Styela clava: one gene and its partner. The protein of the gene in region 1 interacts with the protein of each later gene in a biochemical or structural test. Links are inferred from orthologs where the notes say so. Each region holds a gene or a part of one and is shown on either strand. Other genes may lie near its edges.

The links.
Region 2: of the proteins of E3 SUMO-protein ligase PIAS2-like (region 1) and aurora kinase C-like, one has a biochemical effect on the other in vitro, tested with the Caenorhabditis elegans proteins (2 studies listed by BioGRID). The link is inferred for Styela clava from reciprocal best matches to the Caenorhabditis elegans genes gei-17 and air-2.

The regions. Positions count from the first base shown.
Region 1 is NC_135261.1:9,102,685-9,110,398, reverse strand, and holds the start of E3 SUMO-protein ligase PIAS2-like, read left to right. Parts: upstream 1-4,700; 5' UTR 4,701-4,710; intron 4,711-7,670; coding exon of another isoform or gene 7,671-7,714. Other genes in the region: cGMP-dependent protein kinase 1-like, read right to left, coding at 70-237, 1,192-1,320, 1,631-1,732, 2,424-2,528, 7,671-7,714. UniProt on the Caenorhabditis elegans protein: Functions as an E3-type smo-1 ligase. Mediates smo-1 conjugation to air-2 in vitro and is required for proper chromosome alignment.
Region 2 is NC_135254.1:24,608,193-24,615,404, forward strand, and holds the start of aurora kinase C-like, read left to right. Parts: upstream 1-4,138; 5' UTR 4,139-4,275; coding exon 4,276-4,302; intron 4,303-5,792; coding exon 5,793-5,875; intron 5,876-6,805; coding exon 6,806-6,914; intron 6,915-7,212. UniProt on the Caenorhabditis elegans protein: Serine/threonine-protein kinase component of the chromosomal passenger complex (CPC), a complex that acts as a key regulator of chromosome segregation and cytokinesis.

The sequences.
Region 1 (7,714 bases):
GATTGCTTGAAATTGAAATGTTCACAGGCCGTGTGTCACTCACTCATCCTACTAACAGGTTAAATTTACCTGTGTTACATCACATGTTCCGATCTGAATTATATAAAATCGGTCTCCGTACATTCCTTCCTTTATTATTACTTTATTTTGAGGAAACGCCTCATACTGCATGTAATCGACCATTTCCTGCTTTTGTCTTTCATCAGAACGTTTCAGAAGATCATTAGATGCGATTGCCTGAAATAGAGAAACAAATATATTACAAAAGAGCAGACTAAAGTAATTTAATGCTGTATGAAAAACAGTCAAGGTCAGCAGCATCTGGGTTATCCAATCCAACAAAATTTGACAAATCAACAAAATTTATATGCTTTTTTATACCTGTTTTTAGAACATTATCTGTTTTAATTAAAAAATATTACTCTTTTATTTTTTAAAGTACTTGCACCTGCGAGTGGTAGAATGAGGCAATCTGATATGTAAATTGACTACATTTGTCTTTCCACAATTCTCTCCGCAAAGATAATGAATAACGATGGAAATATTGATTAGACACAAAAATGAATAAATCAATTTGTATCAAATTACTTATCGGTGAATTGAAAGTAAGTCGAAGCAATTTGGATGAGATTGATATTTATTGTATTGAATTAAAATGACATTGTTTGAATAACTGCATTTCTATTTGACTTTTGTTTTAATATTTTTCTATTACGAAATTGAGCACTCACGAGAGAACGATGCTTAAATATATGGACACGAAAGTCAAATGACTAATATGGCCACTGCAATCTCATAAAATGTTCGACCAACGGCTCCAAGAATTGTACCTAATGTCATATTAAATAGCACGGAAGGATGAGGCCGTGATATATGAAAACCAGCGAAATGAGAGTAAAAGGCCAGGCCCCGTAGGACTGAAACGGCTAATCTTCTGGCATTTTCCTCCATCTTCAGTTCAAAATCTGTAGGTCCATTGGTTGCCGAGACGACACGAAAACAGTTTTGCAATACGATTCATTGATCCAATTTTTGTTCAGAAAAGGGCGCATTGACTGAATTGTCTAGTCTATTTTCTCTACGTGACGAGGTTGAATTTTATCACATTAACAAAATAGCAGCAAGTCTAAAAATTAGACTGGAAATCGAAAGAATTGAATAAACCATTATATAAGGTATCAAAATACTTACATCCAATAAAAACTTTCTGTCATTCAGATTTTTTTCAACTTTTACAGCTTTCACGTTATCATTTTTCACCGTGTTTCCTCCAACACCGGGACGATGACGCCTTTGAGGTCGTTTTTCTACAGGCGGCATCTAAGAGAAACGAATAAAATTGGTTATTGACAATCTTTAATCATTATTTTAAGTTTCCCGTAGTCATGGTTTCGTAAGGCTTGATCTCGAGACATTTATGGCATGTTAATGCAAATGAATGAACAAAATTTATCAGTGTATTAATTTAAAACAGCTGTAATTTAAACAAATTTGAATAAAAAATAAAACAATTTCCAACATGAGTTTGTGATATGAAAATTTATAAGGACAATGACTTTAGGTAAACCGGGCATTGAGATTGTATTCAAAGTAGTAATCTAACCTAACCAGATAAGAAGAGTCAACTTACAACATCTATAAAAGTTCCCTCCATTTGTTTGATTTTCTTGTCTTTTTCTTGCAATTTTTCTCCCCATTCTTTCTCTTTTCGTTGGAAATTTTTATCGTTTATCTAGAAACATAAGAAAAATATAAATTTCTCCGAATGCTAACGCGCTAACGCGAGTTTATTTCGGCACTGAAGTTCACAGCAGTGCAAATTATTGCATGTAATTTGCGCCGTGTCGTCGTAAATGTATTTGTGTCTTCACGGCAGAAAGAGTAAAGCAAAGCCAAGAGTTATGTATTGTCATTCGATTTTTTATAATTATATAAATGATTTATATCATTACATGTATAGCATTGAAACATTTAGTTATTAGTTTCAACTCCAAGAGTATGTGCACCAAGATGGCGCACAACCTGAACATAGTATGTGTATACCAGGTTAGGGTTCAGGTTGTGAACCATCTTCGGGAGCGCCCAAATATGTACTGTTACGGTAGCAGACTCAATGTAGTCCGATATTGTTTTGTATTTAGCGATAGTTGTAAATATATGATAAATTATTTGATGATAAACGATTACGTATTCCAATGATGTTCGTATTTAAAGATTTTAAAATTAAATCATATATATGTATTGAAATTTGAAACAACTTAAATTATTTTTGAATTAAGCCTCAAAATTAATTATTGATTTTACCAATGAATAGTTACGATAAATAAAACATAAAATTAATTAAAAATAATCATTAGGTTCAAAAATCAATTAGAGGGAATTAAACAGCACACTGATTCGCATTTCACTCAGTGAAATCATACGTCAAGTTTCTCTTCCAGAGCTTTTACGCTGTTATTCAACTCTAATATCTCATCATCTTTTGAACTCAAATTCGTTTTGAGCTCACTTTCTGATTCCGATTTTTCCTGAATAAAATTTAATTTGTGAATATTTTCTGCCGTGGCTTAAAATTACAATAAGTTCATAAGTAAAAAGCAGTGTTTGGTGTTTGTTTGACGAATGCTTAGTAACGCAAAATGTTAACCTTATATCCGAAGATCGCTCCGAAAGCAGTGTTTATTTTTACGATAAGGATGTTTAAGTTAGTCATGTAGTCGGAATTATTTATCAGCTCCAATGCATCAATTCTGCGCAGCTGTATTCTGCGGGACCAAACAAAATCAACTTATGATTTAAATTGTCCCAGATTAGGTATGACATTGTATAATATTTTAATTAACCCGTCGTTGTGATGGTGAGAGAGCGCATGCGATGCTAGTTCGATACAAATTCCCGCGTAGTTCATTCGAGGTTTCTTCTATATATATGCGTGATTACGGTGGCGTAGTGGCTGACATTAACTAGTCAGCAAAATTTCGAATGTGACGCAACAATTGAACTTTTAGCAGCCGTTCAAACAACTTTTAGCCGTTCAAACACCCAGAGGGATTTTTGAGCATGACAGAAACGTTAGATTGATTTTCTGACGTTTCAGTTTAGTTACAGAATCAACAGTTATTCTCTAAAAAGCCGAGATAGACTATCCTAAAATTAGCTACCGGTACTTTTAATAGCAGGTAAGCAGATACGTTGAATCAAAATGATGGTTATGAACATGTGAACTAGTTTGTACATTTCAAACCACGAAAACATTGCTGTAATAAACATCAAACTTTTTGCGGATCTTTTGTAGAAAGCCCCCGACACTAATGCAAAATTGTGGGATTTGGGAAAACGACACCGCTATGTTTTTAAATAACAAATTAGTAATTATCTAGTTGAGGTTCAAAATGATTTGACAATTTCCAACGCAATCTGCAACTCAAACACTAATCGGATTTTTACAAATTTTCTTGTTTTGAGCGTTTGGCGCGGGTGTTGTACGAAAGATCCCATTTTGCAATGGTTAACTGTAGAAAAATTTCTGGGGTCAAGGCTCGGGCCAACATCTGTTTACTTCGAATATTTGCCAAGTTTATTCACTCATATTTTAAACTTATTCTACGAATGTAATTCATTTCAGTCAACTAATATTGACTGCAATCAATCATCAGTCTTAAGGCCTTGTTGGAAGTTCAAACAAGAATAAGGTCTCTCATGACGATGCTATTTTGTTAAATATTTATTCAGCAAACCAACGCCCAAAATTAGCCGAATTTTGCAAACAAATATATGAGAAATCGATAGATTTGGGTATTAATCAAATACTACAATTTATTACCAACAAATATTAAGAAAATGGTGCTCATTTTTAGAGAGAAAATTGTAATGGTAACATTTTATGCGTGTATAAATAATTATATATAGTGTTGATTAGCCTATATTGTTGTGAGCATGTCCCATTGCCGGTTATGTCAAGCATAGTGCTAACGATCTGTGATCTATGTAATGTACAGGGCATATAAGAACCAACATATGGCAATATTTAATCTGACATTAAAATTTGTGCACTAAAGAAGACTGATATAAATAAAATCAGTATAAAGTGGTTTTATCCTAATTATAACGAGTTGTGTTGAATTTAGCCAAAGCCAATAAATCCTCTTTTGCTAGCGAAAGAATTTATTGTATGCTGGATCTATGTAATTTTATTGACAAAATGTCTCAGACAATTACTCAAACCACTGCAAATTTCAACACAAAGATATACGGTAGTGAACGCGCTGCATCAACGTATTATATAGGCTCTGATGCAAGATAAACCAAATCTATAAGGTCAAGTAAATTCCAGGTCCGTGAAGGATTACAACTGACAAGGTTCTCAAAATACAACAATCAACGGTGTTATGCGACGTATTGGCGAGGCCAAGATTTTTGTTCTGTACGGCACCCATTTTCGTTGATGTAGTAATTACTAAGATGTACCGATATCAGGGATGGCCAATACCGAATAGTTCACTATTTCGAATACATTCGAAATTATTATTTTCGAATATGAAATTTCGAATACTTCGAAAGTAAAATCCAGTAATAGAATCTAAGTGTATGAAGGAATTTTCATACAATAAACAATGGAATAACTTCTATCTACAACCTGGCTATATTACCAGGCATTTCATGTTTGCAGATTATTGCGATATATATTTTATATAACATGAGTTGTATTAATTAACAGAATTAAAATAATACGACAAGGCATTTTAAATAGTGGTATCGGTGATGGATTTGAATGCTTGCGCAACACAAAATCATCCTAGTAAAACGCCCATACTTTTAAATACCAACCATTATCCAAATTATTTGTCAAAAAGCGGGATAAAGTATGAGTTCATTTTCAGACTTGTGACAATTTTTTTGTGAGTACAAAAATACGGATCAAAAAGTAAATATATTCGGGAACTTTACCACACATTTTAAGTCCGCAGATCGCCGTTGTATGTTTGTGTAATAATACTTTTATTATTTTATAAATACGAAAATAGGGTTCAAAAATTATTTATAATCGGGTAGTTTACCACACGTTCAATGTCCACAGATCACCGTTGTATTTTGTAAATACGAAAATAGGAATCAAAAATTAATATCAATCGCGAGTTTGCCTCACAATTTATGTCCACAGAATGCCGTGATATTGTGCCCGGATATAATTAATTTTTGATTCTTATTTTCGTACTCGAAAAAATTGTCACAAGTAGGAAAAATAATTTATACTTTATTACACATTCAAGTCCACAAATCGCCGTTGTATTTTTGAGTTATAATAGTTTTAATATTTTGTAAATACGAATCCGAAAATAATTATAATTGGGCAGTTCACCACACATTTCATGCCCACAAATACCCGTGGTATTTGGTATTAATACTTTCATTATCGATACTTTTGACCATCATTATCAAAATTATTTTCCAGAAAGCGGGTGAAAGTATTTTTCTAATAAATCAACTTGTTTCCCAACTTGTGACAATTTATTGGATATCGTAACAATTACGGCTATAAATACCGTATTTCCCGGCTAATAAGCCTACATGGCAAATAGGACGATGTATATTTTTAGCACTCAAAAAAGGGGGTTTCCCATATAGGCCGCCAAGAAGACGGGTAGAAAAATTATTCCCTGTTGTTCAGTTATGCTAATATGCGCTAATAATAATGTTTAGAACCAGATCACGTTTGTTTAGTAGAATCATACTCACAGAATTAACTATTTTTAACAATAAAGCGGTAATTTTAAGTTAAAAATCACAATCATTTTGAACAATCTATAATTTTATAGGGTCAGAACAGAACCAGATCATGTTTGTTTGGTAGAACCATACTCACGGAATTAACTATTCTCAACAACGAAGCGGTAAATTTAAATTATAAAGCGGCAATCATTTTGGACAACCTATCAACCCGAATGTTGAAATAATTTTGGAATGTGATAAGTACCACACGGTACGTCCACGGGTTATTTCACAGCTGTGTTTCATGTCCCTGTCGTTTTCTGCTGAATCGGCAAAACCAAAGGGTCATAAATCACTTACTTTATCTCGGTGGCGGTGGCCGTGTTTTCTCTTTTAAGTAACGATAACCGGCCTACGATTAAATATCATGATTGGCACACCCATAAGAACCAAATATAAGGTTTAACACAAATTATGCTTGAGAAGACTAATGCGAAAAATAAGCAGGCCACATAGAAATAAAATAAACATGCTTTCTCAATAAGGCGCCCCTCCCCCCAAAAAATCAAGCCAAAATTGGGTCTAGAAAAGCGACTTATTAGCCGGGAAATACGGTGATTGTCGATTTTTCGACTAATGGAAATGATTTTGTGAATTAAAAGACGAATGTCGGCAATGTCCACCAACGCAAACGTGCAAATGTGTCGCAACACTATGCGACGTACATTCGCGCTGAATATAAACAATCAAAATGCCGACTCATCGTCATGTAATACGTGAGAAAGCGTAAAAAGTCGTTTGAAGATTCCGGTAAAACGAAACACCGTGTTTACGGCGAAAAGTGACTACTATTCGTAATTATTCGGAAATGAGCCGAAAAGGTATTCGAATACCTTGATATTCGAATAATTTCGAATATTCGATTCGTTTTGGACAACCCTGACCGATATCACTATAAAAGTTGTCTGCGAACTATGTCTACAGTGAACAGTATTTCAGATTGAATAACCAACGGTTTATTAAAATACGTGAAGTAATCACATCGTTGACTGCTTTATATCATGGAAATTTGGATCCCAACACTTTCCTTAAATCTATACGACTGAATAAAATAACTAGATAATTATTCCTCTACCTGACATGTACTGATAATCGGACGAGAGGTTGTAGTACGCCCATGGTTAAGCCGTCTTATCGACTTTTCTCCCATAGGAATCACAAAGTAAACTATCTTATGGTAGTTTATGTAGATGTTTCGATGTTGGCGCGAGGAATGAAGAGTCACGCAACGGGAAAATTCACCATGATGTCTGATAGATATTTTGTCATGTTTACCATTTATTATTGAAAATGTAAACAAAAAACTTTGCCAGCGAAGATAGTCAAATAAGTTGAGATGAAATGGTTCATGAATAGCTAAAAACAGGTAAAATCTGCATAACCTATCAAATTGTCAAATTGAAAGTATAAATGATAATAACTTGATTTCAAAACAGTAAGAAGTTTAAATTGTAATAAAACGTCATGGTACCAAAAAACGAACGCCCTAATACCTGTTTCTACTCGCTATGATGTGAGCAATAGACTCGGAGGCAAAAGATGCCGCGGACATGATCCGTTATCGACATACGTATACTAACTTATCTGCTTGAAACATTCTAAATCAGATTAAAGTGCTAAATATATCGGCCTATTTTAACCGATACTGATATCGAAAAATTACCGATACATAGGGACATTTCTATAGTGAGTACTCGTAGTGGGTACGGCCTTCAACTTTTCTATATATATATATATTATGCTCGACCCCATCTGACTACGTCATCGAAAATTACGTCACAAACGATATAACAAGGTCAAACAGAACTAACTTTAAAAAAATTTATTCCCTATCTTGTGTTTTTATAATATTCAAGCACTGAAAATTAAACGTGAATTTTTCTTAAGCTTTTGTCACTTACTCGAAATTCTTGTTGAAGTGCAGTAAGATTTTTATTTAGTTCTG
Region 2 (7,212 bases), on another chromosome or scaffold:
CCACTAAAGTGCTACAGAGACTAAAATGAATTGGATCCTCGCGATATACTGTATGCCGCGGGCCTGGGTGTCAGCGGAGATCCTGGACGCCTACCGGCTTGTTTATTATTATTATCAATGTATTTATGTTTTTTCTGGTTGACAAATAATAAATCTCTCTCTCTCTCATTCTATGCATGCCGTCCATTTGGATTTTTATAAATAAAAATCATTGCAGTATACAATATTAATAAATACTATTTCATCCTATCTATAATTCAATAACAATGTCATCCCAGACGACCCTATACATATGAATAAAAAATAAATTATTAGTTAATACAATAGTTATAATAATATAATTACAATTATCTCAAACTTTTGGTGTTACGGAGCCGTTGAAGTAGTTGATTATTATTCACGGAGCCCACAATAAATTAAAAAAAAAAAAAAAACATTGTTACTTGACGATTAATGTTTATGGGTAAGTTGAAATTACTTTATATACCCAATTCAAAAGCTAAACCTTTTATAATATATATATATGATAAATAAAAGCCATAAATGATGCTAAATTTAATATATATATATATATATATATATATTGAGATGTGCTGGCTTGTCTAGTAGGCAAAATAAGCACGTGCTTAGGGAGCAAAGGAAAATGGGGCACCACAGAAATTTTGGACCTCTGAAGTATGCGCACCAAGATGGCGCACAATCTGAACTCAGGTTGTGTACCAGGCTAGGGTTCAAGTTATGCGACATCTTGGTGCGCATACTTCAGGAGGTCCAAAATTTTATTATACAAACCCCAATGCATGCACTTATAATACAATGGAAGATTAATTGACCATAGCCTTCACATTGATTAGCTGAAATTTCATCTGAATCACGGGAAATATGACGCGTGGCCACGACGTAGTATCAGAATGAATAGAAAGGTGCGCATAGCACGCGCAATTTACTACATTTCATCTTTAGTGCCTGGGGTAGCATGTTTCACATGTCGTGGGGCTCTTTAGACAAAATTTACGTTTTTTTTTTTCATTTTTTAGTGTGTATGATATCGTTTCAATCTATAAAAGGGCTAACGCATCGCCAATTTTGATCTGAGATGTTTTATAAATTAAGAAAAGTTAACCAAGATACGAGGGGCTAGTTAGCACAAGAGACAAAAAGATTAAATTAGTATTCCTCCACTGACAGTCAGAAATTTGATTTGCACATTCACTAGTTTGAATTATCTTAGCATTTTCCTTAAAAACTAAACTAAAATGAACAACAGTATTAAAACGGGATATTCACGCATTCAACAGTTAAAGCAGCGCACACGATAGTCCCAGATGAACGCTTTCGATTGAGGTATGAATACACATGCTTCGAATCAATGTAATTTGGGAGCTCCCGAATTATGTGCACCAAGATGGCGCACAACCTTAACATAGTATGTGTACCAGGTTGGGGTTCAGGTTGTGCGCCATCAGTTCTGTAGGCGATTAGACTCGTCATAGGCTGTCAAGTGTGACGTCGTTAATTAAGTAAGATTTTAATCCACCCTATCCTCGACAGTAGCGATAGCTCAGGGGAAGCGTTGGGACATGATCAAACATTAGGATCGTGGTTCGAACCCCACATGGTGGAGTGAGTTGTAGGGGTGGACCATCAGACAAGGCACACAGTCGAGGGGAAAAGAGGCAGGCGAGAGCAGCAGCCAAGGAGAGCAGAGATGAAAAGGAAATAAATAGGAGCCAGCATGGGAGTCAGCGAAAATCGATCGGCGGGATGGCCAAGCGATAAGGTTTAAAGGTGGAGTAAAAATGGAGACAAGAGAGAGTCATCCAGGCGTAAGATATCAAGACCAGAGCAGTTGAGGGAGTAAAGGGTCAGGCAAGAGCAGCAGCCAAGGAGAGCAGAGATGAAAAGGAAAATAAATGGGAGCCAGCATGGGAGTGAGCGGTGAAGTTGAGGCCGAAAGATATCAAGGAGAGCAGAGATGAAAAGAAAAATAAATAAGAGCCCGGTGAGCGAAAATCGATCAGCGGGGTGGCCAAGCGATTAGGGTGGAGTAAAAATGAAGACAAGGGCGAGCAAAAAAGTTCAGAGGGAGCAGCAAAGGAGGGCCAAGCGATTAGGGTGGAGTTAAAAATGAAGACAAGGGCGAGCAAAAGTTCAGAGGGAGCAGCCAAGGGAGAGCAGAGATGAAAAGGAAATAAATAGCGTGTGAGTGAGCAAAAATCGAAAAAGGCGAAGAGTGAAAATCCCACCCAGGACACGTATCCTTCAGGTTAGCGACCCGATAAAAAGCGAAAAGAAAATCCCCACCCAGGACACGTATTCAAAAAGCCCCCCCCCCCCCCCCCCAAATCGCAGTCAAGATTTCAGGGCGACCCGATAAAAAAAGGCGAAGAGTGAAAATCCCACCCAGGACACGTATCCATCCATTCAGGTTAGCGACCCGATAAAAAGCGAAAAGTGAACCCAGGGCACGTATTCAAAAAGCCCCCCCCCCCCCCCCCCCCCCAAATCGCAGTCAAGATTTCAGGGCGGAAGATAGAACGACAACAATTACGAATATAAAAAAGCCCACAGAGTACGGAAAACATTCAGAACTGGGGGTGGTAGGCGCAATAAAAATCAGCTGGGGGAAAATTGAAAACACTGGAAAAGCACTGAAAATAGAAACTAACGAGAGAGGTATTTTAGCCTGCAACTGTTTTGTTGCTTAGGGCCTATAAAAAACATAATCCGGCCCTGATATTAAGGCTTTACTTTTTTGTTCTCGTGCGAAATTGTGAGTTCAGTGTGAAAAACAAGTTAGTATATTATAATTATCGACGACGAGATGATAAAAATAAATAATAAAGAGGTGGATCCGCAACCCAAATTTCTTGATTGAAAAGTGGCATTATAAAATATTAAAACTAAAACCTAAAACGGAACGGACATAAGTTTTGTTCTAGCAAACTCGAGGCAGTTTTGATAAGTAATGATTTTATATAATCGTAAGTCGACTCAACCACAGTTACATCCAACACAATTAAACCAAGGAACAATGATCGGTCATGAACTGCTCAATTATAAATTGTACTCATTGAGATTTTACGCCGACCCTGGGATTTTCGGAAAGGCGATATTTTGCTTAAAAATAATCTTGAGGGCTGAAAAAACAACACAAATTCAACGAATCAAAATATCGCGAAAATATGATTTCAGTCTATTTAAGTCGTCAGTTTAGCACGTGTTTGATGTCATTTGAGAATAATAATATTTCATTTCATTTATCGTAACAGTAATCTCAACTCAAAAGGCGGGTAACAATAAACACATATAAATAAATTTGACAAGACAATATAAATATTCGATTCCAAATTTTAAACCGGCTCTCTATTTAAAAATCCTGGCTGCGCTGCTGCTTATAGATAATGTCATATATAATTGAATTGCCGCAATATTGCCAAATTTTGATGCCACAGTTGTGAAATTTCATTAATGTTGTTGTTGCTTCTTTGGACAGTTACAAAATTAGCCTCCACACGGAGCACTTTGAGAACCTATGCTTTATAAAATTACTGCATCTATATATATAGAAACGGGCAGCCAATAATACACAGTTGACAAATTGCAAATTAGGAATATCATCAAACCCTATGAAACATACTTTTATACTGAGACAAAAATTCATATCCTCTGTTTTAAAAACTATCCATTGGTCTACCTCAGACCAAAATTGACTTGTTATGGGACAATAATAAAACAAATGTAATAAAGTTTCAATAGTATGCTTACAAAATTTACACATATTAGTATCTACTAGTCCAAAGCCGTGTAATGTATAGTTTAGAACTATATATTTTAAAAAGTTTAATTTGGAAAGACCTTAATTTTTGTTTCAATAGTTGATAAAAAGGAAATTTTGAAGTAGCTGTCCCACTTCACATTGGAAATATTAAATGATTCTTCCCAAAATGATTTATACATACTTGGGGGAACAAACCTTTTCAGTATTATTTTCCTATAAGCACTTTTACACAAGTAGTCTTCAGTGGTGGTTGTGAGAAATGCTATAAAATCAAAAATGTCATTGGTTTTGCAATCCATTCGTGTGCGACGAGAATCGCGCCTCAAGTGTGCAGATGTGATTGGCAGAGCATTTCTCGTCACACAATTCAAATTATTGTGCGCTTTTTCTTGCAGGAACTGGTCCGGTCGTTTTACTGTATTATCGTTGCATTTTATGTTTGACGTAACTTTATCCATCGTCTTTAACGCTGATTTAAGTAGAATTCGTTACAAATGAACGGACCGAAGTCACATCTTTCGGTAAGCATAAATTATCTTGTTTATGTTTGGTTCTGTGGTGTGGTTTACTTAGTCTTTACCCTGTTACCCGCGGATGTCAGGATGTGGTGAAGGAAGTGTTCTAACGTTTAAACCAGAGGTCGGCAACCTACGGCCCGCGGAGTGATATATTCCGGCCTGCGACGCTTCGCTGAATTCTGGAATTATAGTAACAAAATAGGGGTCTAGTATAGTTTAATACCACAAGTAGGCTACTTCCAGTCGGCGTAGCATACCGGTAACGATTTTTGCATATGTTATTCCTAACCCCCATATGACTATGCCATTCAAAAATCACGTCACTACGACGTCGCCATCACGTCATACTGTCATAGGGATTGCCAAAGTATAATTACGATCGCCCGAAATGGCATCTGCGCCGCCGATAACGAACTTGCCAAAGCCGGCGATCTCGCGACGAGAAAACGAGGAAAATAGCTTGCTTGATTTCGGGTGATCGTCTGCACGTTTTGAATGACCATTCGCATACTTCGGTGGGTCTTATCACGCCACTGTGACGTCAGAATGACGTAATTTTTTGGTGACGTAGTCACGTTCAGGGGTTAGAATTGACATATGCAAAAATTGTTGAGCCAGGCCAACTATAAGTGGATGTGGTACTAAACTATACCAGACCCCAAAATAGCTGTTTTGACATTAATATTCACTAAGTAACTGAATTTATTGAGAGACATGTGTAGACTAAATTATAAATTTAACAAGTATAAAATTCACAATTCCTCGTTTGATGAACATAACATTTAATTATAATTAGACAAATGGCAGGAAAACTCAGAAAAGTTCATACTAAGTTTAATGACGCCACAAATATTCAAATGGATGATTCAATTTTATGAGATGCAATGCAGTGAGGAAATAAATGTAGCCTATATTCTATTCGAAAGATGTATCACTGCTTGTTTTTTATTATAAAAAATATCATCCGTTCGTTTTTCAACTTTCTGAAAATATGTGCGGCCCGCCAATGACTTACTGACTTACGACCCTTTTTTAGGCCCGCGAGCGACAAAAAGTTGCCGACAACTGGTTTGGGTTTAGACGTTAGTCCACCACATCATGCACCCAACTCTGTCAACTTTTGGTTGGGCAATTTGACTCCAACTATATTCAGCTTGGCGATATCTTTTTATTAACATTAAATGTTTTTCTTTATTGTTCACTCTGGTTTATAAATCAATATAAGTGACTTTTTTCTGTATTTTGCTTGTGTTATACTCTGATTATACGGATATAGTCTACACTGCTACAGGCGAAACTGGGATCTGTTTGTTGCTGTGTTGTACAGTTGTAACGTTCAGAAGAAGAAGAAAATACAAATTACGACATTAGCTTATAACACAAAAACTGAGGGCGCTTGCTGTGCCCCCCTGATATTCCTGCGCGGACCCCAATTTGAGAGCGACTGTTGTATATTAATCTGATAATTGCACTTATTTTATTTCTGTATTTAGCCAAGCTGCATGAGACCTCCGCTACGACCAGTAAATTCCGCAGCTCCAGAAAGAAGAAGTGTCCGTAATGTCCAACAAAAGAAGTAGGTCGTTAAAAGCATAGATACTAGTCACAGGACATTTGTTTACTGCTGTCTCATGTGTTCTGTGAGACCATGTGTAGGTACCTGTAGCGTTTCAGTTGATTTCCAATTTGTTTTCTTAGATTTCATCTGGCTTCTGTGAATTCCTAGCTAGCTGGTCAATGGGGTTTCATGATATGAAATAACCAACCCTATACCTTGTTTCCTACTAAGAAGTAAGAAATCCACCCAAAATGGCAGCTGAATGAAACAGTCAAGATATTTCGAAAATAGATTAAAATATTGGGTTTGTGTCACTGGCAATTTGCTCTAACTTGCGCATTAAAATACGGAAGCTAAAAGTTAAATGCAGTGATTTATTGGTATTTCCTAATTTTCTGAAGTCACTTGGTCCTGTATTTTATTTATGTTTGAAGCTTTTTGGTTCATAGTTGGAATGTAACTTATGTAAACTAGACTATATATCAAAGAACATGAAATTGTGGAAACATTATATAACCAATCAACTTTCCTATAATTGATTAAATTCTGTGCAAAACAGGAGTTTATTTATCAGGGATTGCCAGACTAGATGTTTATATATTCACTCCATTACCAAACCTTTAATAATATCTCAAACATGTTCTGTTGTGACCGTTGGGATTTTACATTACCATTGGGAACCATACATGCGATTTATAAACCAGTACAATATTGAGCTTCATTGATAATAGGTGAAGTTTCATTGCTCTGAAATTTCAAATATTTATTTGATAAATTTTATTGTATCAATGACTACACTTTCTTCCACCTCGTAATTGGAACCTCAGTGATTTGACTGTATAAGTAGTTACCATGATATTTTCATGGCAATATTTATCATATATTTATAAGGGCATTGCAAAATATAATCCATTCCTTTTAGTAAACCACACTTGTATTAATTTTCAGGCATTGGTCTTTGGATAACTTTGATATTGGTAAACCTCTTGGCAAGGGCAAGTTTGGAAATGTATATCTGGCAAGGGAAAAGGAGAGCAAATTCGTTGTGGCATTAAAGGTTGGTATTTGCAAATATGGTTGAGAGATCACCTCAATTTAGTTAACATATGCCAGTCCCAGATTTTGGAAATTTTTTAAAATTGTTATGATTCAATCAGGGCTGGAGCTGAGAAATTTATCTGGAGCCGCAGCTGTAGCCAAGATTACCATGTTAGATAGAGCCGCAGCAACAGAAATTTTAGTGACTCCGGGCGTCTCCGGCTCCTAACTGGGGTGAAATATGTTTCGCATTGAATATTTTCAACGGATAATGAATATTTTTATCGTTGATTACTATATGTCACTACAATCGTTTT